4 linked regions of the Medicago truncatula genome follow. The protein of the gene in region 1 binds, or shares a complex with, the protein of each later gene. Links are inferred from orthologs where the notes say so. Each region holds a gene or a part of one and is shown on either strand. Other genes may lie near its edges.

Region 1 (7,885 bases):
CCCGGACTCGATCGATAATTTTTGCACATTAAATTCAACCAAAAAGTCCATTAACACATTTACAAAAAGAAAAATTTGGGCAATATGAAAATTATCACACGCAAATAGGTCTTGGAATTTTATTTAGCACACTATTGATGGGTTCATCTCTCTTATTTTTTAACAGGTTAATTGTTCAAATTTACCCGGTAATATACTTTATGTTTGAAAAATGACCCAATAAAATATAAAACATATATTCTAGCATTGTAACTTGAATTTCTTCTTATTTAATTTTGACCACCCTATAATATACGTGTAGTCTAAAAATGTGACCAACAAGTTGAATTTTTTCACTATTTTTTTCATACATGTTTAGCACGTTAAAATATAGCTTTACACAAAATTAAATTTCTTCGACTAGGGAGAAATTAATTATGAATTTTTATTCCCTCATAATTATGAATTTCTTAAACAATTTATAATTAATTTATATCTCGTTTAAAAATTACAAAATTTCATTGTGAAGGTTCTTATCATGTTCTAGTCATGCCTACAAAATTAGGGAACTAAATTTGCTTCTGAGTACACGCTTACGCGGAACAAAATTTCAATTTTGCACGTTTCAGTTGAAAAATCAAAATAAATTTAAACGACTTCGAAATGCTATGAAACTTTACATATCCTTTTTATGTATTTTTATAGATGTCTTTGCAAATAATGAGCTCAAAATTTGATTTATAGATCGAGATTTCTGTTGTTTTGTTTTTTGAGCTTTTGACACTTTAAAAATTCATAATTAATTTGTCGTTTGTCGAAAATTTATAATTTTTTTGTTAAAGCCATATTTTAACGTTCTTAACTCGCCTCTAGGAAATCATGAAAAAATTCAATCTCTCGGTTGCTTTTTTGGACTTCACGTATATTACAGGTTATAAATAATAAAAATCTCGAATTACATGGTCAGAATACATGTTATTTAATTACAGGGTCAATTTTCAGAGTTCAAGTATATTACGTGGTCAATTTCAATTAATAACCCTATTTTAAATTGCACTTTTGTTGACAAAATGATAAACCTCTTTTTTTCGATTTTTTTTAGGAAAAAAAATAAAAAATAATTTTTTTTTGATTTATGACTGTTTATATATTATGTCACATGTGAATTTACGATTAATTTTTTTCCCGGACTCCATAAATTTCCTAGCTCCGCCACTGCTCACGCTAGTGCAAATGGCAACGTGAGTTAACTCACGTTTCACAATACACTAGTGCATGTTAACTTGCGCTAAGCATTCAACAAATAACTCACAAATAACACTAGCGCATGTTAAGTCACGCTACTTATCTTAAGTTATGTTATAATTTGTACCAGCGCATGTTAACATGCGTAGGAGCATTTTGATCATTTACTTTGGAAATGAGCGAATTCATTTGGGCAATGAGCATAAATCAATACTAAATTCAAATATGATGGATAGCAGGGGAATTTCATGAGTTATTGAGATTTACATGCTTTGTTTCTGTGTTTCAAAGATTTTGTTTTGCTCTACAAGTATGCTGGAATGTGATATAAATTTGGCTAGAAAAAAATTGCGGCTTAGGTGTGAGAATGACTACAAAAGTCAACATTACTATGCTTGGAAACCTGGTGTGGGAACCACAAACTACTTACTGTCAAGGTATAAGATTTCAGGTTCCATAGTTTGGAACTTTGTTACTAAGGCCAAGATTATTCTCAGAGATTCCGGTGGGAGCTGGTGATCTTTGATTTTGGTATAATGATTAGATAAAGTTTATCCCTCTTTGTTGCCAAGTTCCATATGTTGACATCCATGATGTTAAAGTTTACGGTCAAGGATTTGATTGAAGATAATGTGCTCACTCTGCAGTCCTTGCTCCCAATTTTTCTGACGTTGTCTTTTAACTTGGCATTTGGCTGAAAAATGTTAATGAAAACCTACACAAATGAAGCTAAATTCTAATCTTGAAAATGGTACACAAATAAAGCTAAATTCTCATTTGGTTAGCATGCCATGATGATGATGTCCCCACTTGTAGTTTTTGCTAAACATCATCATGGAATGTTAGTCTCTGTCAAATTTGCCAGAGGAAGAGGAATCATTTCCTTTGCATAGATGGTTATTCTTTGCTAGTTTGTTATTATCTGTATCATAAGGATGATATTTTTCCATTTATAATCATTTAGGAGTTAATGTTTCATTAATTGATTGCATTCCCTATTCCCCTGGCTACTTATAACCTCACGTATTTTGTATCATATTAGTGAAAGATAAATTATTTCAAAATGCAGATGGCAAATGGATACAAACCTTTGCAGTATTATTAGAAGGGCTTAAGTTCATTTTGGTCCTCTAAATATCACGATTGTATGGCTTTAGTTCCGTATTTCTTTTCAATGTGATTTTAGTGTCCAAACTCTCCCCTTTTCCAATTTGGTAGTCTCCCCATTATTCTCAAACATATACTAATCCGGCAAAATTTGTAGATGTAGCATCCAAACTTCAATGTATAAGTGTATCTTCTCATTCCTTCAACAACAAAAAAAAAAAGTGTATCTTCTCATTAAAAAAGAATCACATTATATGAAATAGCACATGAGCTACTTAATTTGGCGCCGTAGGACAAACTGATATTCCTGTTTGGAATAATACGAGGTTCAACGTTACTGATTTGGGGATGGATTGAAGTAGAAAACGTGGAACCATCATATTTTGTTTTGTTAGATTCTTTGAATGCAAATTTGACTTAGATCCATCAAGATAATAGCGATTTTTGGATCGTATACCGAGTTTTATAAAAAAAAAAAAAAAACATGTGTAGTTAGAAGGTCAAAGATGGATTTAAGTCTATTAGAAGTTAGTTCTTCTTTTGTTTTTGTTTTGGTAAACGAAGTATCCTTTGGACATCCGAATCAAACTTTTGACCAAATGATTAAGTGGTCAGATTATATGTCACTTGTGGTAGCTATTGAACTTTAGACATCGAAATTGTCATTAATCGGTACTTCCTCCGTCCCGTCATAAGTTAATCATTCGCAAAAAAATATTGTTCCAGAAAAATTGATTCATTTTACTTTTCAAAACAATAATAATTACATTTTACCAATTATAAATTTAATTAATACTACTTTTATCATTCTCAATTTAATATATTATACTTTACATTTATGGTAAGAAGGAATGTACTAATACTTATACACTTTTTCTTAATATGTGTAAAATAAACAAAAGTTTGGGTTAAAATGGGATGGAGAATAGTTACATATAGAGGATAATTCTTGAGTTGTGGCGCCTAATTATTTATTGTAAATTTATTTTTCTTCATTCATTGTCAATAAATGTTGACACGAGATGCATTAGTAGGATTGTTGGAATCTCTCTATTTCATAAAATAAATGTTGTCCATTCATATAATTTTGAAGCAAATTAAGTAGTTTTGAAATTAAAATTGTCCATTTATTTTAAGATCGAGAGGATGTCAACTCAAGATTTATTTTATTTAGTGGATCCTTAAAAAAAACCATTGCTTGTGTTTATCTATGTCATAAATGAAAAATAAAATAGAGTAAAATCAAATTTATTTAAATTGTGTTCACATGATTGGTTAATGAGCTTTATTTAAGATAAATCATTTGGAAGAACTTGAGTCTCCTTTTCCTAAAAATCGGATGCTTAACACACAAAAACTGTGCTCACCATTCAAGAGGTTTTTGAGATTTTCAAAATAGCATGACCAAAAAAATTAATTTAGCACATCACACATATTTGTATTAATTACGCTTTCCGACCCACTACGAGTGACATATTTGTAAAAAAATTATCTCAAATGAATGATCTATTTTACAATGCAATACTAATACTTGATAAGAATACTTAAAACTATTCTTACGTTTTTTGAATACCCGTTCCAATCTCAATTATAAGAAAAAGTTATTATTTTTTTTGTTAAGTAGCCTAGTGGTCGGAGCTCACACTTTTTAAAGGTGAAGAAGTAGAGAGTTTGGTGAACCTTGGCCCCTGCATAATATTGTCTTTGTAGCTACCAACTGAGTTGTGCTTACATGACAAAAAAATTAGATTCGTTCAATAACTAATGTATTAGTCTCTAATACTACCTCCGGTCCTATTTATAAGAGAAATTTAGGTCAACAAAAGTGAATGTATTTGGACTGAATTTTTAACAAGATACATCAACTTTTGTTGACCCAAAATTCTCTTATAAATAGGACCGGAGGGAGTAGTAATGTATTGGCGCTCTTTAGGGATTTCAAAAGAAAAAAATATTCACAAAAAAAATCAAATATTTCAATTTTCAATGCATCGATTAAATTTTTGAACAAAGTTACTATTTAAAGGTCTCAAAGAGCACTCTAGGGGCAATCATTAAAATTATAAATTAGTTATTAAATGAATCAAAAAAGTTAATTTTTTTATAATCGAGACGTATGTGTGAGATGATTAAATTGAAAGCTAAAGTACACTAGAGATTCTTTAAGTTATTTAATTATAACAAGTTGGGTTTTTAAGTCTTTTTTTGTACCACTTACATCTTTTAGTTATTTAATTGTAGCAAGTTAGTCTTTACGTTTTTTCACACATTTTAGATCTTTTAAATTATTTAATCGTAACTTTTAAACACCAAATAACTTACTTTTCTACAATCAAAATTTTATTAAATTGTTAAAATTAAATAATTTAAAGATCTAAATGGTACGAAAAAACTTAAATGATCAACTTATTACAAATGAATGACATAAAAGACTGGTTCATCGCTCCATTAAAAACTAAATGATGAATATCGAAAATTTAACAAATGGAGCATGTAGTTATCTCTTACATATTTATATTAGGCAAGGGCAGTTGCCTCATTAAATGTTTGAACTTTATCTATCCGCTCAATGTTAGTTTTGTGAAGCAAGGTGGTGAAGTGTAGCAATGCAAGTCTTCCCCAATTCTTATCTCTTCACTTTCCCTAAACCCTTAAACCTTAAACCCTCTCCTTTATTTCACGGCCATCCACCACCTCTACTCCACCGCAAACCACCCCTCACCACCGTTGCTAAATCCTTCACCTCCGATGAATTCCCCGTCGACGAAACCTTCCTCCAAACCTTCGGCCCTAAAACCAAAGAATCCGAAGACGAAGCACGACGACGCAACTGGATCGAACGTGGCTGGGCTCCATGGGAAGAGATTCTCACTCCTGAAGCCAAATTCGCGCGGACGAGTCTCAACGAAGGTGAAGAAGTTCCTCTCAGTTCACCGGAGTCGATTGAAGCTTTTAGAATGTTGAACCCTAGGTATAGGAAGAAGAAGATTGAGGAAATGGGAGTGACAGAAGAGGAATATTTGGCGAAGCAATTTGAGATTAAGGAAGATGTTCCGGAGGAGTTGGAGACTAAGTGGGCAGGACCGTTGGTGGTGAAGTTGGTGCCGCCGAGGGATTGGCCGCCGAGAGGGTGGGAGGTGGATCGTGAAGAGCTCGCGTTTATTCGTGAAGCGCATAAGATGGAGGCAAAGAGGGTGAGGTTGGAGGATATTGAAAATGGTGTTAGAACTGAAACTGATGATGTGTGTTTGGATAGGTATAAGGTGTTTTTGAAACAGTACAATGAATGGTTGGAAGCTAATAAGGATTTATTGGAAGAGGAATCCTATAAGGTTTCTTCAATTTCATTTCATACTTGTTTAAATTATTACAATGTGCATTCATAGTTTTTTGATTTGGTTTATGTTGATTGCTAATTGCTAATGCTAATTGTGATGTGAATGCTACAGTTAGACCAAGATTATCACCCTGGTAGGAGGAAAAGAGGCAAGGATTACAAGGATGGCATGGTAGGATATGATGAATTCACGATTCTTTTTTTATGTTTGTATGTATTTGGAATGTGAGAAAGCAAACTTGTTCTGGGGCTAACTGTTTTTTTAAATGGTTTTTGCAGTACGAGCTACCGTTCTATTATCCTGGCCAAGTAAGCTATTTCACAATTCTTAGTTCATACTCATTATGGATTATATTGTATTGTTGTTGTCTATAAAGTCGATGCTTTACTTTTTATCAGTATCGTGTTCTTAAGATTTCCTATGGTATTAGTGTGTTTTCATATTCACCTGGTTGTTTCGAATTACTGCTATTATAATTTTATACGCACGGGCAAGCATTGCATTCTATCATTTTCTGCTGCTTGGAAGAAACTGATTTCATATGGTGGGACTAGGCTAGTCTTCAATAGGCATGTACAGTGATCTTTTCAGTTATGACAACGTGCATATTACATTTTTAAATTGCTGACTGGAAATTTTGTTTAAGAAAACTATGAATAACTGAATTTACCCTTTAATGGCAGCATCACGTTGTCACAGTTTTTTTTTTCCTTTTTTCTTTCTTTTTGGTTTGATCAATCATGATGTCTCTAATTGGACAACTGTATATGTAGTCCAATAGATGATCCTATTTTTGTTTGGCTTCATTTCATTCGTATAGTTAAAATCAGTCTTTTTCTGTATCATAATTTTTAATAAATAAATATGTAGGATTGAGATTCAAGTTTTCATAAATGCTTACATGATAATTTTTCATTGCAGATTTGTGTGGGGAAGGTGACAACTTTGCATCTCTATCAAGGGGCATTTGTTGACATTGGCGGAGTATACGATGGGTACATACCAATCCCTCTGTCCATCTTTTAAGTGTTCCCTTAACTTTTTCTGTATTGGGTGTTCATTTCCTCATTGTTTTGGATGCTGGAGTAAGTAATATTGAGTTGCTTCCACAATGATATTCTTGCTAAATTAATAACTATATCTATAACTTTAGAATGTTTAATCAATATCATGTGGTGCAAAAATAAATTGGGAAAAGCATCTTCACAAGCATTTGTACCAGCACTGAAATGCTTCATTATATCCAAAGCCATGGCAGAAACAAAACAAGTACCTAGAGAAACACACCTGAGACTTGTTAAATCTCTAGACTTTGGATGCATTTTTTTGTTAGAAAAAAAAGTACTGGTTGTTTACAGACTAGAGCTACAGGGAAATCATACTGTCTCTTTTGTATCATGTGGTAGCCCAGTTTACTGAAAATTATTCAACACTGAGATTGTTTTCTCTTTCTTTGATCTTTGACTAGGAGACATTGTTTTCTCTTTATATGCTGCCATGGGTTATTGCATATTTTCTTTTGTTTGCTGCTGCTGTGTACCAGCAGTACTTCATACTGTTATCACGAGTAACTTATAGACTTTACTTCTGTACCATTGTTATCTTGTTCAGTGCCACTGTTTTAGCTTTTACTTTTATGCAAGTTTTCTTCTGGAATATTCATCTACTGTAACGTGTTCTAGGTGGGTTCCTATAAAGAACAATGATTGGTTTTGGATTCGCCATCACATAAAAGTGGGTATGACAGTCATTGTTGAAATTACGGTGAGTATTTCGGTCACTAGTTGAGAATATTCCATACTTGTCACTTAATACTTACCTTATATACTTGATAATACAGTGATGGTGCCTTTAACTGTACTGTTACCTGCCAAATTGTAGTTTTTTTACCCATCGATAGGAAACTAGTTGGTGCTGCATTTTTCTTCATGTTGTTATGTTCACGTTTTGAAATAGGAACTCTAGCTCAAATTGTATTATACAAGGTGAATTTTCTCTCTCTTGTGTGCAACAACTGGGGCAAGCTCCCACTTACCCATCAGAAGCACTGTCCTTAGTTTCTGTTGGTATCCCCACATCAGGTATCCAATTTTCCAGTTTATTGCTCACCCCATTCCAAAGGGAAGGGGGCGATATGTTTAACCTCTGGCCTCGGTGTTTGATGCCTCTTTCTTTTATTCATCCATTTTTGGTACTAAGAAAGGTCTACCCTTGTT
Region 2 (7,898 bases), about 7.7 Mb from region 1:
CTGAATAGTATAAGCTACTTTTTGTTATCAGCAATTCAATGTTACATAATAGTAAATGATCTTCGAAATTGGATAAAGTTTTTACTGCTATAAATTCAAGAGGTAATTGCTCGAAAGAACTTTCATTGCATGAAATGAGAAAATTTGGGTCGTTGCAAACATTATTTGATCATATTAGCTCTTTGGATCTCGTTTTGAAACCCAGTTTAGGTTCTTGGTTTCATGTCTCGTTTTGCAACTAGTCCAGTGCATTGTTGTATTCTCATCCAATGCTTTGATTTCTGTTTTTCCACACAATTTGATTGCTTTATGATTATCTCTTACTTTGATATATAGTTTGCAATAGTTGGTGATATAAACAATTATATGCAATCTGGTTGTTTTGAACACGAGTTTTGTTGTTGTGATTCTCTGGTTTGGTATTATTTTGGTACAATTTTTTTATTGCAAATGTTGTTGTAGGTATTATCTATATTTAGGAAATTTGTTTCTTGCAACTTGGATTTCTTATATTGTGGAGTTTGTTTTGGTATGCTTATACTTATATTAATGTGCTTCTCTATTGGTTTAGAGTTATATTGTGGGAAAGTTGTCTGATTGATTTGGTAAAATTTTACAAATGGATTCTTCGTTGGTCGGTCGCTCTCTTCATCGTGGCATTTTAACATGGTTGAAAACCCTTATTTTGGTTGTTTTCCCCTATGTTGATACATCTTTTTGGTTGTTTCTCATTCTTTGATTGCTCGTCTCTCTGTTGGTTCATCTCTTTGGTTGTTGTTTCTTCTCTCGTTGCTCTTCTATTTCTTTGTCTTCTCTTTGATTATTGTTCCTTCTTTGGTTGAAATTCAATTGGTTGGTTACTCCATTATGATTGATTAATACGATTGTTACTTCTTTGGTTGTTCATCTCTCCAATGGTCATTCTCTTTGATTAGTGTCCCTTCTTTTGTTTACATTCTCTATGTTGGTTCCTCTCTTTAGCATGATTGTTTGATACGATTGTCTCTCCTTATTATGTTACTCATCGCTCTATCAGATTCTCTCTTTGGTTGGTAATTCTTCTTATATTGTTGTCTTTGTTGGGTCATATGTAATTTTGATAAGATTATTTTTCATTCTTTGGTTGTTTCTCATTTGGTTGTTCTTTTTTATGGTTATTCTCTTTGATTGTTTCTTCTTCTTCTTAGGTTGATTTATCTATCTATTGGTCCATTTTTATTTCTCTTTCTTTAGTTGTTTATTTTTTATGGTTCATCTTTTTTCTTGCCATTTCATATTTGGTTGTTCCTCTATTTGTTGCCCCTTGTTATCTCATATAAATGGACAAAATAAGTGAAACCTAATGAAGACCACATGCATCTACCACTAGCAACAAAGCAAACTAAAATCAAAACAACATTTAGTGTTAACTTGTGATTTTTATTACCAACTAATTTTTTTAATTGTTAATTGTTCAAATTACCCTTAATTTTTTATATTACAGACCCATTTATAATATTAGAGCAAAGCCTCCAATTTGATTTAGACGACACTCGACAAACTGCGTCAATCAATTGTGAATGGTAGAACCAGTCCAGAGACAGTTCACTGCATGATAATTACCCAATATTTTGTCGACCACTTTTTGGGACCATTGTGGTTGTTGGGTTGTGCTTGTATATGGGTATGATTCAAGGGGCTTGTGTATTCATGTGGTTGTTGGGAGTCTCAACATCGGTAGCTGGTTTGTATGTTGTCTTAATATTGATTGGTTGGTTGTTGGGAGCTTTGGTCTTGGTGACTTGATTGTGAGTAGTCTTGATATGAAGTGAATACGCCATCTACAACACAAAGTTTCAAGTAGTTAAAGACTCGGGTTACTGGCCCCAATATCAAGGCATCTTCATTTGCCACAATCTAACCATGAAAAAACTAAAAAGAGATCGTCCGAAGTAATTGCATTATGACTGAAAAGTGGTGATAAAACGTGGATTGTGTCGGCTGACCATACATTCTCATAAAAAAATTCTTACTCATCAATAAATGTTATTAACTTTTAACTTGTCATTTTATTATTATTTATCGGTATGCAAATTAAATATATTATCACACAAGGCAAAATAAATGTGAAATGTAATTTCTTTCAAAAAAAACACAATGCAACATTAAAACAACACTACTCAAGCAAAATTACATCAACTTAAATAAATAAACATAATATAACATAATGTCGAGATCCACCATAATCTACTCAGACTTAACATACAAATAAATTGTTCTTTCTCTACCTTCTTCGTTCAAAAACATGTCTTAAGCATCAACATCATTGTGGATAAGCTTAAATTCATGATATACAGTGCCATTGTCATTACCATCTCCCAACAATATATAAAAGGCTCCCCATAAGAAATTCGAGTCACTTTTCAAGGATCATTACAAGCTAAGTTATAAAAGTGGCTAAGTTGCCTATTCAACCCTAATAACGTTTTTCTTGGAGTTATATACATTTCAAATGGATCTCTCATATGGTCAAATTGAACCATGACGCGTAATGAACGAGACATGATATAAATGAGATTAGAGAAAGTGATATGAGTAAAGTATTAGGTTGAGTATGAAAGATTGTGATTTGTGATGAAAGGGGAGACACCTACTTATAAGAGTGTATTTTTTTTGGTACAATAAATAATATTTTAAAATTTTTAGAAGAAAAAATTATTTTTAAAACAAAAAAGAAAAAAAAAAACATGTGAATCAAATTTTAAAAAATAAATTTATTGACATTGTCATTATTCATTCGTTTTTCTTTAAAAAAAATTATTTAGTTGTTTTATTCAATAATTATTGCTTTATAAAATATTTTCATTATTAAAACAACGTATTAAATTGAAAATGTGATGGAAAATAATATTTCAATTAAAAATGTGATGGAAAATATTTAATTATTAATTTAGTAAACCTTTAATCATTAAAATAATATACTAAATTAAGGATGTGATGAAAAATATTAAAACATTTTCCATAAAATATTTTATCTATTATCAAAATATTTTTATCATTAAATTAATATATTAATAACGTTTTATTCATTAGATGATAATATATTAAATTAAATAATATTGTAATGAATAAATAACAGTATATTGATCTTTACCAAAAAATAAATATAAAAATAATATTTTAATTAATTATTTTAATAACTAAATATTATATAAAGTAATAATTATTTAATAAAACAAGTTAATAACGACAGGGATATTAAATTTATCTAACTAGACTCTGCCACGTAATTAAAGTTGATCTCAAAATTAATTTTGTAACTTTCATCAAAAAAATATTGGTTAACTTGAATTCACTTTGCTAACTTAGACCTACTTTATTATAAACATGTTTATATTTTGAAAGATACAATTATAAACATGAAACAAATCAAAATAAACACAAATGTATACAAATATGTTTCATTAATTCTTTTTGTTCATAAATAAAGTTGCTGTAAATTAGCAAATTGGATGTAAATTATATTGAAATTTACTTACATGTTTGTCTTTTAGTTATCATTAATATTTTTTCTTTTTTGGTTCAACAGTTTAAAAATCATTTTTTTTAAAGTGAATAAATGAGGTGTCTGAAGTTCGAACCCCTATCCATGCATAAATTATGCATTATCTTTACCAATTGAGATAAGCTCACGAGGATTTGTTAATTTAAACTTTTGACAAGATTTTTTTTTTATTTTTTAAGCAAAAGATGGGATGCAGAGGGGTCTCCTGCTGCAGTACCCAAAACATATATTAAACGAAAGAAAAAAGTACAAAGAACAGGGGGGACAAAAACCAAAACCCTCCAAAAAAGCAAAAGAAAACCAAAACATAAAGAAAGCCAAAAAAAACAAACTAATGAGGCGAACGGCTGGAAGCACCCACCTTGAATCCTCTGCCCGTCTCAGGTTGCTTCTTCTTGAGTTTCTTCTTTCTAGGGACCACCAATTGAAATGGTTGACTCGTATTTTCGTCCAAATCAACAATTTCATTGTTCCGAGCCATGTTAGCCCATGATTCGCTTAGAAAATTCACCGTTTGTTGGGCCTCCGTAGGAACAACTCCTAAAACTTGCATGTCATGAATAACAGATGCACTGAAGTTTGACAAGTCTGAGTTTGTCACCACAATGGAGTTACCTCCCAAAGGAATTGTATCTAATATTGCTTCCTCTTGATGATCATCTTGACATAAAATGTCAGCTGAATCAAAACTCATGTCAATATTACCCTGACCATAAAGGGGTCCCGTACCTGCTAAATCACTCAAATTCTCATTACCTTGAGCAACCATGTCTTCTGGATGCATAGAATCAACAACATTAGTACCATCCACAAATCCCAATAGAGGATTATTATCAACAACCGCTTTAGTGGCATTATTTGACAAGATATTTTTATATAAAAATGAAAAAGTGCACATTTGTTAAAATATGAGATATGATCAATTGACACCAACATGTCAAACTTAATACATGACATCGACAATAACTCTTTACCGTACAAAATTTTACATTAATTATAAACTATTCTATATGTTCATTGATACCACAAAATTATTGTCTTATGAGCTATTGAAAACCAAGTTAATTTTGATGTATTTAATTGACATATCAAATAGTTTTTGATTAATGTAAAATTTTGTAGATATGATTTATGTTATAATATATTTCAATCAAACAATCGGTCTTGCAATAAAATTATACAGTAAAGAATAATCGTTTGTGTCGTATTGTTAAATTTGACCCAATGATGTCAATTGATTCTGTCCCTATATACACCGTTGAGAGACTCTTAATGTTAGAAATTATTTTGACTAGTACACAAATACCATTTTAAAACATGAACATATTGATGAACTATTTATGACTATTCATTTCATAGGGATGGAAATTATTATTTTTCTTGGAGAAAAAAACTATTTATCCAAATATTATATAGAAAATTCCTTTATAGTTTTGAGATAAGGCGAACCAAAGTACAGTAAATACCAGCTATGGCTCTCCGCGTCAACACATTCACCCTCTCTTCGACTTTACCTGTAATTTTCATATCTTTCTTTTCAAATCTTTATATTTTTCTAAACTGTTACTTCAAAATCTTGTAATTTTCTTGCAGAAGATAGAATTAAGAGCTGGAAATTCATGGAGCCCGAGCCTGAGTGTTAACTCGCAGGTATAAATATAATAACTTTGAAAGTTGTTGAATTCTTTGTTTGCAACATGAAACTGAACTTGTTCATGCATTTGTTCTTCAAGATGGTAATCCAAATGCGAAAGGAAAGTGGTGGACGAAGAATCTGGAGGCGAAGGAAAATGGTATCTTCTGCATCCATCTTTCTTGTCTCACAATGTTTTTCTTTTTATGCTTGCCTCTTACCTGTTTGTATAAATTTCCCAAATAATAATAATAAAATAAAATGAATGAAATTAACATGAATTTCATCTATTAATAAAGAATGCATTGAAAAGATTGTGTTGTCTAACTTTCTCAGTAGTCAATAGTATTAGTGGCTAAATTGTTACAAATTTTTAATTTTAAATATATCTAGCTTGAAGGGTTAGGAAGAATTAATGTTGAGTAAATGTGTTTGTAGTTCTCTTGGGACATTAGGCTCAATGCGAAGAGGCGCTGAATTTTTCCCCGTTTCCTCATTTTCCGGAAAGGAAAGGTTTCAAACTTATAATTGTAACATTCTAAAGTTGGAAAGTTAGGGGACTAGAGGTTAAAGAGTTTGTAGTGGATGGATTTATTGGATTGCATGTTACACTTACAGAAGTAAGCTGGAATTGTGAAACAGAATTAGCGATCTGGATTATAGATTTGTGGTGTTCCAAATTAACAGCTATAACATTTGTGATGTGAGGCTGCAAGGGAATATTGGAAGGTATGTTATAGTTTTTGCTGTTCCAAGTAAATAAACATGCTACAACATTTGCGATGTAATTTGCAATGTGTTGCTGCAAGGAGGAACATAGGAAAAAAAAAAAAAAAAAGTGGTGTTTGAACTGTATGTTGTATTCTTCACAAAAGAAAAAGTATTACAAGAGTCTCTAGTGATTCATTAAAGAACACAGTAAGGGAATATGTAGCATGACAGGGAATGAGGAGGAGAAGAGCCAAGAGAGGATATATAAAAGGATCACATTTTGTAGTTCTCACATCATTTATATTTACATTTGCACCCTGTCGTTTTGCCTAAGCTTTCATGTCTTTGTTTTTGCATGATATCACCACCTTGCTGCATTCTCTTGCGGATTCTTTGCCATGCATGTGACCTTTATAGTGTTGTAGTTGCTGTTGGTGTATCAAGTGTCAGAGGATCCACCCAATGTCTTAATGTTTTGGGTTAAAATGTGGTGTCCAAGTCAATTATGTAGTTGTTCTTGGTCTAGTGTGATGATTCCCCGGACTCCCTAATGTCCCAACTGTTGTTGCTACTGAGGTGTTTGTCGATATGAACATAATGATTTGCAAAAAAGATAACTGCTTTCATGTGGTAAAGATAAACCAAATTAAATTTGATTCGTGTCTTTGCTTCTTTCTATCATGGTTGCACATCTCCCAGTATTTGGCATGTTTCTCACTCAAAATAGATACTCATTTTCCGTTGAATCTTGATGCACATAGTGAAGCTGTATGCATATCAAGATGCTTTTATTTCTTCATTTCTAACTGTATTGATTGAATGAATGCATAATGGTTATGCTGGCGAACATGATTCATGCTATTGACACAGGTTTCACGAGTATCAGGCCCGATGAACTTGAATATTTAAGCAGAAACTCATTTTGCTGCAGATAAAAAAGGATGAATCTCTTCCCTACAAAATGGAGCGCATTCCTTTTCTCGAGGAGCAGGTGAGGAAGATAAAGGATGAGGGAAAACTCTTGCAATTGGACATAGAGAGGTTACTGTTATCAGAAGATAATAAGTATGATTTTGTGAATGAGATAGCAGCCGAGGCCAATGCTTATGTTGAGAGCAACATGGATGAGTATGGAGGTGAGAAGAAAGCCATTCTTCATGTTTTGAGTAATCGGGTGAATGATGCCGGATTTTACCGTTCAGAGGCGTATGCTGAGTCTGATCCCTTCAAACCTGGGCCTCATTATTTGAAAGAGTTTTATACATAACTTTAGATAACAGTTCTTAAGCTAAGATGTTACATTAGGGATAATAACTTGTTTCTTTGATTCACTTAGCACAGTTGATGCCTTCATGTCTGTCTAAGTTAGCCGCAGTTGTTTGTATGCATGCAAATCAAAGTCATCGAGAGCACGTGGAAATCTAATTCCGTATCTTGTGCATTGGAAGAACTATTACTATTCTCAATTTCTCATAGTATTCATCCTCTCTTTTAATAGTCCTTTCTGATTTGATATTTTTCTCTCTTTTAAGAAATGAAATGAAAAATGATAGCACTACATATTAACTGTAGTAATACATAGTAATATATATTAACTGTCACAATTATATTGATATAATACTATATAATGAGAATTGTTGTTGACACATTTCATATGGCTGAGAAACACGAGTAAAGTTGTCGACACATTTCATATGGCTGAGAAATACGAGTAAAATACGTTTTTGCCCACTCGGCAGTTAACTGCCGAAGAATTTAAAAACCGGCTGCAGTTAACTGCCGAGGAAAACCTCGGTAGTTAACTGCCGAGGATCTTTTGCTACAAATCTGGCAGAAGCTCTCTCATCCATTATTCATCTTATCTTCAAAAAAAATTCTCTCACAAATCTCTATAGAAAATCCAACCAAATTTATTCAACAAAATCACAAGTAAGTAATTATAATGCTATTAACTTACATTTTAGTTGTTATAAATGTTTTTATTTGTTAGTTTTTGAGTAGATTTATTAT
Region 3 (7,227 bases), on another chromosome or scaffold:
GTTGTGGGACTATGATGGTGCTTTAAATTGGCATTTGGATTTTAGGAGGTCTGTTAAGACTATCCATGCAATGTAATATTACTCATGTCTATGTTATACATGTCAATCAATAAAAAGTCCATCTAACATCAATTTGTGTACTTCAAGTTTTAATATTCTTTAGTATTTCTTTTGGCATCAATAACATGATATTCCTTCCAAATAAAAGCTATAGATTTTTTTTAATCGGCAAATTATTCTCGTCGAGATTGTGTAAGGAACACGAAAATCTCGCGGATAAAATCAAACAAGAAGTAACGAGTACACATGAACACTAATACAACCACCTACCAAAACCACCCATAACAAAGCTAAAAACAGAAGCTTTATATTCCAAATTTGGTTGCTGCTAAAGGGTAAAAAACACTGAAGCAGCAACAAAACTGAACCAAAAAAAAAGCACACAACTAGCACTAAACAACCCATTCCATCTAACAATAATGCTTGACCAAAACAGCCGCACACTTGCTTGAGCAAAACAACAAACACTAAACAGCAGAACAGCATATTCCAACACAATTTCAAGCAGCCGCACACTTGCTTGAGCAAAACAGCAAACACTAAACAGCAGAACAACAATCACTAAACAACAATCCTGCAGACCCTCATGCCTTGATTGCAGAAAAACCAGACAGCAGTTCAAACCAAAAACAACAGTGTTATGGTTTTGTGACCCGAGAGTAATAAGGAGCCTGCAAAGAATATATAATTAACCACTTATGTTCATTATAAAAATGTCAAATAAAAACAAGACAACACCAAAATCTATATTTGCACCTTGTTTACTTGACCAAAATGTTCTTGATTTGGATTGAAGGAAGCTACAGTATTCACACTACCATTTTCACTGCTACAAACATAGTTATGCTCCTGTCATAGATATTAACATGCAAAAACATAGATAAATAGTATGCAATATCATATTGAATATTTCAAATAACAAAAGGCCAATCATTTTTAATTAAATGAAAGTAAGAAATCAGGTTTACTTGAATATTGTCTTGTGTCCCAGTCCCATCAAAAATTTGATACCTAAGAAACTCTTCATTTGTAGTATTTTGAACTACATGCAATCTTAGTCCCTGTCATAAAAAAAACTATAATTAGACACACCCACATGTACACACACACACTACTGTGTTCAACTGCATAAATAGTACCATTCAACCATTTAGAACTATGTTCACACTAAAATATTTACATAGAAATATTTACACTAAAATATTTAGTATATGCTTTGTTTACTTGAATGCTCTCTTGTGTGCCAATTCTATCACCAAGTTGAGATATGTAAAACACTTCGTCTTCAATTTCTTGACCTCTAGATGTACATTGGCCCTGCCATAAAAATTATTAAATTAGACATCTCAACTATTATACCTATAATATAAACAACTTGCTATAAATTTCATACTCACCTCTTCTTGAACTTGAATATTTTTACTACTTTGGTTTCTTTTTTTAGTTTTCTTTTGTGCAAGCTTCTTCTTTACAATCTGATCAACTATAGAAGTCTTCCTTTTTGAAGGAGGACGCCCTTTACTTCGAGCTAGTTTAGGATCAAGAATGGTAGCTTGATTTTGAGTTGAACAATCTTCTTCTACAATTCTAGGAGATGTTTCATTACATGGTAACTCAATTTTCATGTTTTGAATCAATTTCATCACTTTCACTAAATCATCGTCACTATTTATCCTCGTTGAAGCAAACTCATAAAAGGCATCACAAGCTTTACCCACGCGTTGCAATTCAGTTTTTCCAGCCAAATTATCAAAACCACATTTAATAAGTGTATACCTCCGCTTTATATCCTTCCTCCACCGTGCCAAAATATAATTAGATGGCACGAAATCTGTTTTCCCTATGAGCTTAAGCACGCAAAGGATGTGCCTACATAAAATGCCTTTAAATTCAAACAAGCAGCAGGTGCATTTTAACACAAAGTCTTTTTCATTGAAGAACACCATCAACACAATATCTTTCATCGTGTCATATACTTTCTTACTTTCTGTAACATAAAATATTGAATCCAAACCCTCCAATCTGTTGAAACATGCATGACAGTACATCATAGAAGCTATTTCCAATTGGAATTCCTGAAACTTTGCATTGGTAAATGCTTTTTGGAATTGGAACTCAAAGCCAAAGTGACTAATACAAGAAATAACTGTATTAAAAGAACGAAAGTCAGCAATGTTTTCCTTTTCAATTTTGTCTTTCAATGCATTATCATATTGCTCAACAAATTGCTTCAATGTTGTCTTTGAGCTTACATATCCATCAAAAAACGAGTTCATACTTTCACTTCGTTGTGTAGTTGACATTCCAGCCCAAAATGTGTCCCTTACATATGCAGGGACCCAACGATGTCGCTCAACAAATAACCCTTTCAACCATTCGTTATCCTGTAGTTTGTAACACTCAATCATATTTTCCCACCTCGTCATAAAATCACTTTTGGTAAAAGAATCATATACAATATCATGCAAAAGTGTTTTGATAGACTCGTAGTCAGAGTGACTACCAAACTTTTCTGGAATCTTTTTCATTAAATGCCATAAGCACCACCGATGACGAGCTTTCGGAAAGACAATCTCAATTGCATTCTTCATTGCTCTGTCTTGATCAGTGATTATGGCATTTGGAGAACTTCCATGCATACATTCCAACCATGTCTTAAATAACCAAGTAAAAGTTTCAGTATCCTCATTTGATAACAGAGCACAACCCAACAACATAGACTGACCGTGATGATTTACTCCAACAAAAGGAGCAAAAGGCATGTCATATTTATTTGTTAAGTAAGTGGTGTCGAAAGTTATGACTTCACCAAAATATTCATATGCAACCCTACATCTTGCATCTGCCCAAAACACATTTTGTAACCGACTTTCATCATCCACATCCATCACATAATAAAATTGACTGTTTTGCTTTTGCATCCTCACAAAATAATTTTGTATTGCTTCAGCATCTCCTGTCCCAAGTCGTAGTCGTCTTACTTTGTCTATGTAGTTTCTGCAGTCTTTTTCTCCAAATGTGAGATTTTCATACCCATCTGCTTCAACAACAAAGGATCGGAAATTTCTACTTACATTAATCCCAGCTTGGTCATTGAGTTCTAACCTCCTCTTCATTTGTGCCCCTATATTCTTGTTCGATCTAAAATACCTTGCTTTCCCTGGACTTAGATCATGATTATGCTCAAAAAAAACACTTTTAATTTTAGTTGTTCCGTCTAAAGAAATACACGCATTCAATCTAGCCTTACACTGCGTTTGAGTTATAGGATTTGGCTCTAACATATTCTTTGGGCGACTCACATACTTTCTAGCTCGACTACATGCTAAAGTAAAATACATTTTCCCCTCATCTCCTTTTTTTGAACTTATTTTTTTAACTCCAAAACCCACCCGTTCAGCATAATTCTTGTAATACTCAGTAATTTCCTTTTCAGATCCGAATGACATCCCATCACAAGGTGTTTCTTCTTCACAAGTACCATTTGCTTCTAAACAATCATTAGTTTCCAATTCATCACAAGACTCAAATCCTTTTTGCACTAACACAACAAATTAGAAGAAGAAAAAAAACCTATATTAATTGACTAACACAGTAAAGTAAATGAAAAATCAATCAATCGGCACAAAATTCCTTCTAATAATCTATAAAAACAACAAATACACAAAATACTTACTTGTAGGTAAATTAAAACTGAAATACTCTGCTTTAGTGCTATGAATCAATGGAAGCTATGATGGTAAGCAAAAACAGAGTTACATGAGAATGAATATGAGACCTGATTCAAAGAGACAAGAGCGTGAAAAAGAGAACGACGACCTTATATCACAACAATTGAGATTGAATGTCAATCAGATTCTTTGATTAGCGGAAAAGATGAGATAATTGCTGCGGGAGTGGTGAACGTGGGTTCTTTTCTGTATGTTTTTGTTTTGGTGAACGGTGGGTTTCACTTTCATTTCTATTAAAGGATTTTATTATTTATTTAATTTAATATTGTTTGTTTTTGACAAAGAAACAGCAGCGCGTAGCACTAACAGGTTTTCACGCGTCCGTAATATTCCGTATTCAAAATTTTCGTACGATATATCATTTTCCAATTAAATATTAAGGACCAAAATAACATTTAAGCCTTTTTAAAAAAAAAAAAAAACACGTGACATCACTCTAGAAGGAACATAAAATGCTGGATAACGTTGTCTTTACCATTTTCCACTCTTGAGTTCACTCAATGGCTTCTTCTTTTCCACTTTATCAAACAAGTTTCTTCTCAAAAACCCAGGTTCAGTTTACTTCACTTCATTTCCCTTTCCATTTTTACATCTTTTTCTTCTCTCAAATCTCAAATAACTTTTAACTAATACTTGTTTACTTTCTAAACAGTTCAAAGGTTTGCGCCATGGTTATTTGTGGCGACCCACTTACTCTTTTGGTTCTTGTGCTGAAAACAAAGTACAACCTGTTAAAGCTTCTGTCGAAACTGCCCCATTTCCCTTGTTTCAGCCTCCTAAAGATGAAGAAACAGCTTCTCAGGTAAAAACCCATTTTGCACCTTGTTTGTTTATTTATAGGTTGAAAGTAACAACTAGGACTAAGGAATGTTAAATTAGTTTATATATGCAAAAGAATGTTACCTTTTTTGGGTGCATATGAGACCTTTTTGTTGGTGGGCATAAAGGGAGTGTTTTAGTAGTCTTACCCTTAAGCCGGCCCTGGAATGTGTTAAAACAACAGCTCGGTTTAAGAAAATAAAGATACGAAAAATGCAAAAATGGAACATGATGTTTGGTAACAAAGTTCGGTCAATTGTGCCTATGTCTACATAAAGAAGAGCGGCTGCGATTCCTTTCTGTGAGTTTAGAGTATACAACTTGTACTCAAAGACTACGGTCCAGATTATAATGTTACCCCAGTTGCTCTTGTTTCGCTCGAGCAACCTATTCACTTATCATTAACTATGAGTTATGCCCAACAGGTTGATTGAGTTGAGTGAGTGAATGTTGTTTCCAAGGTTTTGAATAAAGGTTCTTAATTGATATTGCAACTGCAATGTGAAAGTTTTAGAGACCTTTGTTACTGCATTTGCGGCCCCATCAATGATATTTGTCTATGAAGGACTGAAACATGACATTATACAGATATCGACATGTAGACACCTATAATTTTAGACGATGAAAGTGATTGTATATAAACACACATGTCAATGTCGTGTCAGTGTCGGACACTCGGACATGCCTTAAATTTAAAGTCTCACTGCTACATGATTGCTCAGAGTTTTCTGCAATTTCAAAGATTGCAACAAAACGTTGACTGTGATTGCAATTTAAAATGTTGGATGGTTCAATAATTTGATGTGCTTTTGTGTGTATAATAGAGTAAAGTTAATTTTGAGATGCAGTATCTTCATTCCTATAAGGCCAGTTTTTGGATGAATTCTTTAAAGGGTCGTCTGTTTTTATGAAATTGGGATATTGAGTTGTGATATTGTTTCTTTGTGTTAATTTATTTGTTCCTGTAGTTGGAGCCTGTAGATCCTGATTTCTACAAGATAGGATTCGTCAGAAGTATGCGAGCTTATGGAGTTGATTTTATGGAAGGGCCAAATGGTTTCGGTGTATATGCTTCTAAAGATGTCGAACCTCTTCGCCGACCAAGGGTGAGTAGCCTCATACAAATCCTATGTAAGACTGGTGGCAGTGCATCATAATGAAAATAACGGCACATATAATCAACTCCTAATTTGTATTTTACATGTTAGTTTAATTATTTGTATGATGTTCTTCATGATTATATTCTGAGTAGTTGTCCAAGGCTGTTTTCCCTAACGATGAACTTGGGCAGGTTATAATGGAAATTCCTCTTGAATTGATGCTAACCATAAGCAAGAAACTACCATGGATGTTTTTCCCTGATATAATTCCCCTTGGTCATCCAATATTTGATATTATCAACTCAACAAATCCAGAGGTAATTGCAATTCTCCTCTGAAGTCATTAGTTCAAAATATGATATAATTGATTTCTTGATTGTTTTCATGGTAAAATATATTTAACCAATTTGTATTGTAACTGTTGTATATACTCAAAAAAATCAAAACCGTTAGTTTTTCTAGTTATCTGCTTAAAGTAATTGTGTAAATCTTTGTGGCAGACAGATTGGGATTTACGATTAGCATGCCTTCTCTTGTTTTCATTTGACTGCAAAGACAACTTTTGGCAGTATTACGGTGACTTCTTACCCAGTGAAGATGAAAGTACTAGCTTACTTCTAGCTACAGAGGTGCATAAAAAATAGATTTTCTTTATCATTAAACCATTGGTTGATATTTAGCCAGCATCAGATGTATCTTGTAATTTTAAGATTTGAATAGCTACATTTGGAACATACCACAGTTTTAGAGTTCACTTTACGACATCTCATGTTGATTTGTATATCTAGGAGGAACTTTTGGAGCTGCAGGATCCCGATCTTGCTTCTACAATGAGAGTTCAGCAACAACGAGTGTTAGAATTCTGGGAGAAGAACTGGGTAGAGAGAAAATTGTCCTTGTTGAAATTTTTAGTCTTCTATGATGCATATCAATTAGTTTTTGTTCTCAACAAATGGTGTTACTCTTGTTCAGCATAGTGGTGTGCCGCTCAAAGTAAAACGTCTTGCTCGTGATCCTCAAAGATTCATGTGGGCAGTAGGAATTGCACAGTCACGCTGTATCAACATGCAAATGAGAATGTGTGCACTAACTCAACAAGCGAATATGCTGATTCCTTATGCTGGTAAGCTTTGTTCACATCAAATGGTCTAACCAACTATTGTATCATTTTCTACTCATGCATAGTAGCGGTTCTTGTTTATTTCACATTTGATGTAAAGTTTTTCTTTCCTTTTTGATAAAACAACAACAGAGGTAACTGATTAACTTAGTCTTGCTTTTCAGATATGCTGAACCATTCGTTTGAGCCAAATTGTTTTTTCCATTGGCGTTTTAAGGACAGGATGCTTGAGGTTCTTATAAATGCTGGACAACGGATAAGAAAGGGAGATGAGGTAAATCACTTTATACTTCTTTGAAGTATGCTTTTCGTGATTCCTTTCTTATATTAAACGTTACTGAGTGCAGATTTTGTTTTTATTCTTATAATATTGTTTGGCCTAAACTAGATAGACTTT
Region 4 (7,752 bases), about 1.5 Mb from region 1:
TATCAAACAATAAGGTTTCGCTTAAGATAGTATACATCAACATAGTTCTACACAAGTCTGGAAATGCCATTATTGTAAAACTAAACCGCCAAATGACAGAAGATAAGTGACAGCCTCAAGCATAAAATATGTAAATATTCCCAGTGAGATAAAAACGAGAATTTAACAATTCAGAAAAACAAAACCTTGGTTCTTATTTTTAAATCAAATATTTATTTTAGATATTCGCTTGTTATAAGAGAAGTCCAATGATTTTATGGCATATTAAGAAGATAATATGGGATTTGAATAACTCACACATCACTTTAGCAAGACAGAGAGAAGGGGGGATTAATTAGGAAAGGACTTACAAACTAGCCAAACCCAGCCAGAACCAAACAATGTAAGTGCAGCTTCTGTAAACTTTTCTTTGAAATTCGTAAATGATCCAAAATCCTTTTCAATCTGTTGAAGGAGACCTAGTATGGGTATATCACCTCCTCCCGGTTGCATGGATTCCCAGAAGAAGTCATGATTCCAAACCTTTGCGGAAGAGGAAAAAATAATTAGGTACTACAATTCACAGACAGTATTTGAATATAAAAGCACAAAGCTACCACAATTGTAATTTTGTTATTGTTAGTTATTGTAATCCGACGAACAGCCAAGAATAGCTACATGACACGGATTGGGCAGACAACAACAACCAAGCCTTATCCCACACAGATTGGGCAGATAATTTCCAATTTCATGCAAGCTAGGTAAAATGAAAAGAACCAAATAAAAATCATTTATCAAAGAACCAGAAGGAAAAATCATTTATTTAAGACACGTAAAAATGGAAAAGAGTGCAGGAACCACAGAAAGAGTATTCATTTATTTCAACTTCTACCTTACGTTGATATAGTTTCAAACCCACATTCTACAATTAAATACATTATGATTAAATACATTTTTATGGTTTCAGAAGAGTTTCAGACTCTAGGGCACAAGTTTCCAATTATGAATGGGGGAGATGCCAATATTATCAACACTTGGGAGTGTGTATCCTAATTTTATTATGTAATATACACTGAAGCATTTTGAATAGGTTTATGTGGAAAAGTAAGCCGCTACAGAGCCATAATCAAACTTTAAAAGATCAAATCCAGTAAGCTATCAATAAGTCAGTACCTCAGCTGCATTGTTGAACTCAGGTGAAGGATTGCCATTGTTGTATGTCACTTTGACCAGTTCATCCAAGGTGTAACCATAAAGTATATCATCCTTCCCGAGCTGTTTGTTCAAACCTTCAATAAAATTCCGATGATGCTCTCCCCAGTGCACGTCAATTGTCTGCTTACTCATATATGGCTCTAATGCATCCTATGAGTATTGAAGCAACAAATAAAGTTAGAATCATGATATGAAGGTAAGTTACATATTTGAGTTTGTTAAAGGTTGGACTTAATTGCAGGTTTCATCAACGAAAAGGAGGAAATAAATGAATAACAAAAGCAATGGAAAGGACTTAATTGCATGCTGTCATGCCTTTGTCGATCACTAACGTTTTTCTCAGTTCTAGTTTCTTTCTTTATCATTATATTGGTTAAAATCGGAATAGCTATGTAACTAGCCCAAATAAAGCAAAATATGACAATGCAATGTATGACAGCAATGATTTCTCTGATAAGCATTGCGCAGCGTTCAACTAATCCAAGTATATAGGTTAACTTAAAACAGTATATCTCCAATAAAACATGGATTCGGGTAACTATGGTTCACTTACATGTTCGTAGGGAGGGGTCTTCAAGCCATAAAATGCTGTAACTTTTGAAGATCTGGGCAAGACACCAAACCTCTTTTTCTGCTTAAATACAATTGAGGAGGAAAGAGATAGCCACAAATCAGAAAAAGAAGAAAAAAAAATTGCCACTAACCACAGAGAATAAATATTGCTTGAGGAATCAGAAACTATAAAAAAATCAAATTTTTCTAAAACAAGTAGTCCACAGCATAAATGAAACTCATTAAACTTTTCAAAGTGCTGTAAAAGTAAAACTTTAATGACTCAACACGATTTTCTATGTTAAGAAATACTAACAACACACACATAATCTACACACAAACAACCAACACTACAGAGCTAAACTATTTCAAACATGCCTGTTATTATTAATCATTACCTCCCTAGTAGTGTTAAAGCCCAAATTTTAATAGTCAAACATTTTCTTGCAGAAGATCCATATTTATCAATGCAATAATATACCATGATGCTTTCAAGAAAAATTAAACAGTTTTACTTTAGTGTCAGTAGCTACATTTATCAAAGTTAATCGAAAGCCATATATTGCAACTGAAAATTAGGTGAATATAATTTATCCTAAAAGTTAAATGGAAAGTCATGTTTATTAAGAAGGTCATCAGAAAAAAGAGATAAAGAAATTAGAGTAATTCAAAATGAAAATAATTTACCCTGTGAAGAAGCTTAGGAATCTTGAATTTTGTAGATAAGTCTGGTGAAAAGAGACGAGAGCTAGTCGGAATAGGGTTTAAGTAACAGGAAGCCATAGGTACTCTGTTCCAACACCTAGCATTTACATAACCATATGAATTCATAATTTAGCATTCAATTGTATTACTAAAACAGAACATTAAAATCCAAACATTATATTTAAATAAACGTATAAAACTTTGTAAAATTTGGAAGAAAACTGTGTAAGGTGGTTGCAAGCAGAATTTAACAATGTTGACTTAGGCATTTAAACAAACAGTTGATATACTGATGGAAAAACAAAAGGGAGCCAAGTAAGAAAGCGAGGAAATAGAAGAAGAAAAAAGTTGATATATATTAAATAAAATAAAAAAGGAAAAGGAGAGTTACAAGATGCTGAAAACGATGCGGTTGAAACACAAACACAAGCTAAGGTGAACTGAAAGATGGTGGTGGTGATGAATGTCTTGCTTCTTCTCAGACTATTTGCTTTGTTTCTCTGTCAGTAAAAGATAACGTAACCAGTATTCAACTCCGACCGGACACGACCCCGGTTCGGTTCAAGTTAAAGCGGTAAAATTAGTTATAATTTATCTTTTTTTAAAATACTATATAATCTTTTTTTTTTAAAGGTTAAATGCATCTAAAGATCTTTTAAGTTTTTCATTTTGCCTAAAGTCGTCATTTAAGTTTCAAAAATGTCAAACAAGTCATTTTAGTTTTTGAATCGTTTCAAATAAGTCCTATTGTAGATAGCATAATTGGTAATTGGTTCCTTGAACTCATCTTTGGTACCAAATCGGACTCCTAACACCCACTTAAACTTAGTCATCTTTTTAGGCATGACAAATGGTGGATAATACTCTTTGTTGCTATCATCTAAATCATCATCATAATCCTTTAAAATGACTTGTTTGAAACGATTCAAAAACTAAAAGACTTGTTTGGGAATTTTGAAACTTAAAGGACGACTTTGAGAAAAACGAAAAACTTAAAGGACCGTTAGATGCATTTGACCTTTTTTAAATGTATTAATGAACAAAATTTAAGAAATTAGATCCATTTTCATATTTTTTTGAACTCATAAATGGTGATGTGGCACATTTTAAATGAATTTTCATACAACATCATAATGTAGAATTATCATCAATTAAAGTTACCAGAAAACCTCTGAAAAATTATCTTCATCTAATTTTCAGACCAGAAAGCCTCTGAAAAATTTCAATTGAAATATGATATATCACCATTTTAAGTTCATAAATATGATAGAGGGGCCAAACCGAGTGATTTTTAAATTGGGGGGACCGATTTCGCGAGTAATTTTGTCTTATTGTTGGCATTTTTTGAGAGGTGGTTCACACAAATTAAAAGTTTTCATCTCCGGGTTAAGGAGATGATAATGACAAGAGTGTATATACTTATTTTGATGAACTTCGTCATCGGGGTGTATATATTTATTTTGATGAACTTCACCATCTTCTTAGACAAGAGCGTCCACATGTTGATGTGGCGTGCTTGGAGTTATTAAACCTAAAGGGGATTAGTCTATATACACATTTGCATATGGTTGACTTAAATTGGTGGGGGGTGAGTCAAACTTAAAGCATAGTATGTTCACACATGCCATGGATTTTTTTTTTATTGAAACAACAAATTTTATTAAATAGTCAGATTCCGGCTCAAGACGAACAATACCGGTGAAATTGAGCATACAAACGCAAGATGCATCATGTTACCATCTTCTTTTTGTTTAAGTTATTGCAGCAATCCTCTAACGCAAGATCTAACAATTCCATGAAATGCTTCAAGCTCAGTTGTTGACAAGAACAACGATCATATTGGTTGTTTATATGTTGTTTTGGTGTCAATATATTAGTAAAATGTTGGGTCTGAGCTAAGTTAAAGTGGATTCGTAAAGCTATCAATTCATTGCATTTGAACATTGTAAACTGAAAATCAAACCAACTGAGTTCGATTTCTTTCGGTTCGGTTCAACTTTTGAACTAAATAAAAAAATATCAGATGATAATCGGTTCAATTTAATTTAGTTTTTCGATTACATTAGTTTTGTTTGAATCGTTTATTGCCTTATCTATTAAGAGTGGTATGATGACTATTGGCCCCATAAAAGAACAACTGTTGTTGTCTAGATCATCTAAAAAGCGTGTATAATGTTACAAATGATAAAAAAAAAAAAAAAAAAAAAAAATTACTTTTTGTCAAAAAAAAGATACTAATTTTAATTACTTATTAATTTTTCTAAATTTTATTACAAATACAACTCAATTGTAGGCTGGTGTTGTTTGCGAACGCAACTGCAACCACAATATAGCTGCCACATCACGCGGTCCACAATTTGAACATTACTTGTTCTATGTAGATTCTATGACTAAATATTTATTCATTTTTCTTGTTTTGTTTGGGTTGAATAATTTGCTGCTTTGTGCATCCATTGGCATTAAGTTCTTCTACATACTCAAACATTGAAGATCCCTGGGAACATAATGAAGCATTTCTTTTTCAACCAATTTTTTGTGATGTAGGGTTGTGGAAAGTGTAGGGGAGTGTATAGATTGCAAATCAACCAAGAGCAACCGTTGTACTAATTTCCCATTCAAAGTTTCTCCTTGGTTGCCTAGAAATGGGAACACTAGATTCACTGACCTAAACGGAGAGATCATATATCATTTCATGTTTATTTCAAGTTTCAGTGAGTATACCGTGGTTGACATTGCCAATGTACTAAAGATTGATCCACAAATCCCTCCTCATAGGGCCTGCCTTCTCGGTTGTGGTGTATCGACAGGTAGTTTCTTTATCAACGCAAAAAGTAAATTTAGAATATAGATAAGAACAATGATGATGGTCAATTAGGGTCAACTTAATTGGTCGTGAATAAAAGAAATATTGCTTGTAGTAAAAGTTAACCACGTTAATCCAATTCAATGTTTTGAAATCTTATTTAATAGTTAAAACTTGTATTTGTAGGGGTAGGTGCTGCTTGGAGAACAGCAGGTGTAGAGCCAGGGTCATCAGTTGCTATATTTGGGCTAGGATCTGTTGGATTAGCAGTATGGGCTCTCTAAAACTCAGATTTGCCTTCTGTGTCTGCGCCTCTTTATGGTTATGTGTACACTAAAATACTTGTTGCAATTGATTGATTTCTTAGGTTGCAGAGGGCGCTAGACTTTGTGGAGCAACTAGAATTATTGGTGTGGATGTCAACCATGAAAAATTTGAAATTGGTAATACATTGTTTGCTCAATAACACTATATCAACCATTAAGTCCAATATTTTGTTGCTAACCACCCTCATGTTTCAAAGCCCTTCACTAGAAAGAGGTGTTATAGTACTAAAGGTCTTTTAGATTGACTTGTTTGAGCTTATTATTAAGAATAATAATATAGTTAGTTAGGGTACTAGTTTAGTTACTATATAAGTCACAAGGTTGACTCATTTGTACATCTCTTATCATTTGTAATTTTCAATTTTATCATCAATAGAAGTATTCTTTGAGTTTTCTCTCATTCCTTCATTGGATATCATGTTTCCTAACACTTATCTAGTGGCATAAGCACTTCTGAGAACACTTGGAACAACTTTTGACATGTCCTTATGTTGTTTTCAACTTATTTTCGTAACTTCTTCATAGGAACTTATATGATAAACGCTTAAAAATGTTTAATGAATTTATTTATTGTAATCAGAACAGGTCCTAACTAGGGGAATTGTACCACTTCTGAGGCAATTATGCAAGAATTCTGAATTTGATTTCATGTTCCTTTTTCTTTCATTTAATCAGGAAAGAAGTTTGGACTCACCGACTTTGTTCATGGTGAGGAATGTGGAAACAAATCTGTGAGCCAGGTCCACCCTCTTGAAACTTCAATCTTAACTTTGATTTATGATATTGTCTCTTTACAAGAGATCAAATGAAAAGAAAATATAACAAATTTGTAAATTTTGCAAGCATGTTCAAGACAAAATTTTATTTACTAATGATCTGTTAAACTAAATCAGAATGTGGTTGCGTAGCAGATTATCATAGAGATGACTGATGGAGGAGCAGATTATTGTTTTGAATGTGTCGGTATGGCATCATTGGTGCATGAAGCATATGCTTCTTGTAGAAAGGTATAATTCACTCTCTCAAATGTTTCCAACACATCCTCACACTGTCATATAGAGACAGAAATTGATAATGTAATTTTGACTAATCACCCTTCCATATAAAGTTTGATAGACCACTTAAAGTGGCGAGTTCTTAATATTTTTTAGGACGGTCGGAAATAAAACTTGACAAATAATTGTTTCAGCCAGGGATCAAACTCAAATATACCTAACCTATTCGACTTTAACTGAAACATTTTAACCAGTTGCCTTGACCATTTTGCTTCTAGGGTTGGGGAAAAACAATTGTTTTAGGGGTGGACAAGCCAGGAGCTAGGTTGAGCCTCAGTTCTAGTGAGGTCCTTCATGATGGGAAAAGCCTTATGGGATCTGTGTATGGAGGACTCAAACCCAAATCTCATGTACCGATTCTACTTAAACGTTACATGGACAAGGTGCAATAATATTAAGTTCCTTTTATTTTATTTTTGGACTATTATACTCAATAGTAAAATAATAATCAAGTGAAAAACATGAAAGATCAAATGATTTGTGACATTTTCAATGTGTTAAAGTTTTGGCCCTTTGATTAACTGCAGGAACTGCAATTGGATGAATTTGTGACTCATGAGTTGGAGTTTAAGGACATCAATAAAGCTTTTGATTTATTGAGTAAAGGAGATGTGTGATTTGGATGGACAAACGAATGCATTCTTATGTAATACCATATAGCCTTTTTGAATCTAGTGACTTTGATTAAAACAGTACTAAAAATAAGTTTAGAGACCAAAAAATCCCTCTTGTCTATCTAGTCAATCTACTACTACCCTAGAAATATACTTGCGTTGAGAAGACTTTGATTGTATTTAGAGAAAAGCCTAATTCTTCTCATATATCTTAAATGGACGTAATTTTCACTCTTAAAAACTAGCTCAAGTTATGAAGTGTCAAAGCACGTGCATGTATAGATTCAACAATTTAGGAATTTTAACAATGTGCCAGTCCAACATAATATTTAAATGTTTATAAAAATAATTTATGAGTCATTTATTAAAAAATTAATATTGCATTTCATGGTCTATCTAAGCTTGTAAACTCTTTTTTATGGAGATGAAAATCAAAAAGTGTTTAAACATTTTTAAAAAAAAATCAAGATAAATCACTAGGTTGACACCAAAAGAAGGTAAAA

The links.
Region 2: protein PLASTID TRANSCRIPTIONALLY ACTIVE 10 (region 1) and protein PLASTID TRANSCRIPTIONALLY ACTIVE 7 share a complex: the UniProt entries of both Arabidopsis thaliana proteins name them as parts of the transcriptionally active chromosome (TAC) complex. The link is inferred for Medicago truncatula from reciprocal best matches to the Arabidopsis thaliana genes PDE312 and PTAC7.
Region 3: protein PLASTID TRANSCRIPTIONALLY ACTIVE 10 (region 1) and protein PLASTID TRANSCRIPTIONALLY ACTIVE 14 share a complex: the UniProt entries of both Arabidopsis thaliana proteins name them as parts of the transcriptionally active chromosome (TAC) complex. The link is inferred for Medicago truncatula from reciprocal best matches to the Arabidopsis thaliana genes PDE312 and PTAC14.
Region 4: the proteins of protein PLASTID TRANSCRIPTIONALLY ACTIVE 10 (region 1) and superoxide dismutase [Fe] 3, chloroplastic are in contact, whole or in part, in a cryo-EM structure (PDB 8XZV), measured with the Spinacia oleracea proteins. The link is inferred for Medicago truncatula from reciprocal best matches to the Arabidopsis thaliana genes PDE312 and FSD3. Residues at the interface, in XP_021866326.1 of Spinacia oleracea: Arg80, Lys81, Trp84, Val85, Trp89, Pro91, Glu156, Leu158, Arg177, Asp178, Arg188, Glu192, Arg195, His198, Lys199, Ala202, Arg204, Tyr276, Pro277, Tyr314, Trp315, Glu329, Leu331, Arg346, Asp353, His354, Leu355, Leu356, Phe357, Arg359; in XP_021853685.1 of Spinacia oleracea: Tyr59, Tyr60, Gly61, Leu62, Lys63, Lys64, Pro65, Pro66, Leu100, Asp104, Leu106, Tyr107, Gly108, His109, Thr110, Lys116, Val117, Tyr119, Asn120, Tyr121, Gly122, Asn123, Glu142, Lys194, Ser204, Asn205, Arg258, Gln260, Ala261, Phe262.

The regions. Positions count from the first base shown.
Region 1 is NC_053044.1:37,564,142-37,572,026, reverse strand, and holds the start of protein PLASTID TRANSCRIPTIONALLY ACTIVE 10, read left to right. Parts: upstream 1-4,868; 5' UTR 4,869-4,937; coding exon 4,938-5,663; intron 5,664-5,780; coding exon 5,781-5,840; intron 5,841-5,947; coding exon 5,948-5,977; intron 5,978-6,590; coding exon 6,591-6,664; intron 6,665-7,351; coding exon 7,352-7,433; intron 7,434-7,885.
Region 2 is NC_053044.1:45,255,506-45,263,403, forward strand, and holds protein PLASTID TRANSCRIPTIONALLY ACTIVE 7, read left to right. Parts: upstream 1-4,911; 5' UTR 4,912-5,015; coding exon 5,016-5,060; intron 5,061-5,137; coding exon 5,138-5,194; intron 5,195-5,277; coding exon 5,278-5,337; intron 5,338-6,819; coding exon 6,820-7,155; 3' UTR 7,156-7,385; downstream 7,386-7,898. UniProt on the Arabidopsis thaliana protein: Essential for chloroplast development, especially for thylakoid formation. Involved in plastid gene expression, probably by maintaining plastid-encoded RNA polymerase (PEP) activity.
Region 3 is NC_053043.1:15,106,316-15,113,542, forward strand, and holds the start of protein PLASTID TRANSCRIPTIONALLY ACTIVE 14, read left to right. Parts: upstream 1-4,209; 5' UTR 4,210-4,291; coding exon 4,292-4,342; intron 4,343-4,443; coding exon 4,444-4,593; intron 4,594-5,578; coding exon 5,579-5,716; intron 5,717-5,901; coding exon 5,902-6,027; intron 6,028-6,210; coding exon 6,211-6,339; intron 6,340-6,498; coding exon 6,499-6,588; intron 6,589-6,682; coding exon 6,683-6,833; intron 6,834-6,994; coding exon 6,995-7,104; intron 7,105-7,227. Other genes in the region: protein FAR-RED IMPAIRED RESPONSE 1, read right to left, coding at 699-731, 817-909, 1,029-1,121, 1,285-1,377, 1,458-3,601, 3,737-3,737. UniProt on the Arabidopsis thaliana protein: Essential for chloroplast development, especially for thylakoid formation. Involved in plastid gene expression, probably by maintaining plastid-encoded RNA polymerase (PEP) activity.
Region 4 is NC_053044.1:39,103,538-39,111,289, forward strand, and holds the start of superoxide dismutase [Fe] 3, chloroplastic, read right to left. Parts: upstream 3,006-7,752; 5' UTR 2,843-3,005; intron 2,549-2,842; 5' UTR 2,530-2,548; coding exon 2,434-2,529; intron 1,826-2,433; coding exon 1,748-1,825; intron 1,345-1,747; coding exon 1,153-1,344; intron 523-1,152; coding exon 351-522; intron 1-350. Other genes in the region: alcohol dehydrogenase-like 7, read left to right, coding at 5,144-5,258, 5,441-5,523, 5,622-5,697, 6,256-6,320, 6,492-6,587, 6,854-7,018, 7,163-7,252. UniProt on the Arabidopsis thaliana protein: Destroys superoxide anion radicals which are normally produced within the cells and which are toxic to biological systems. Plays important role in chloroplast development, particularly in the maintenance of thylakoids membranes.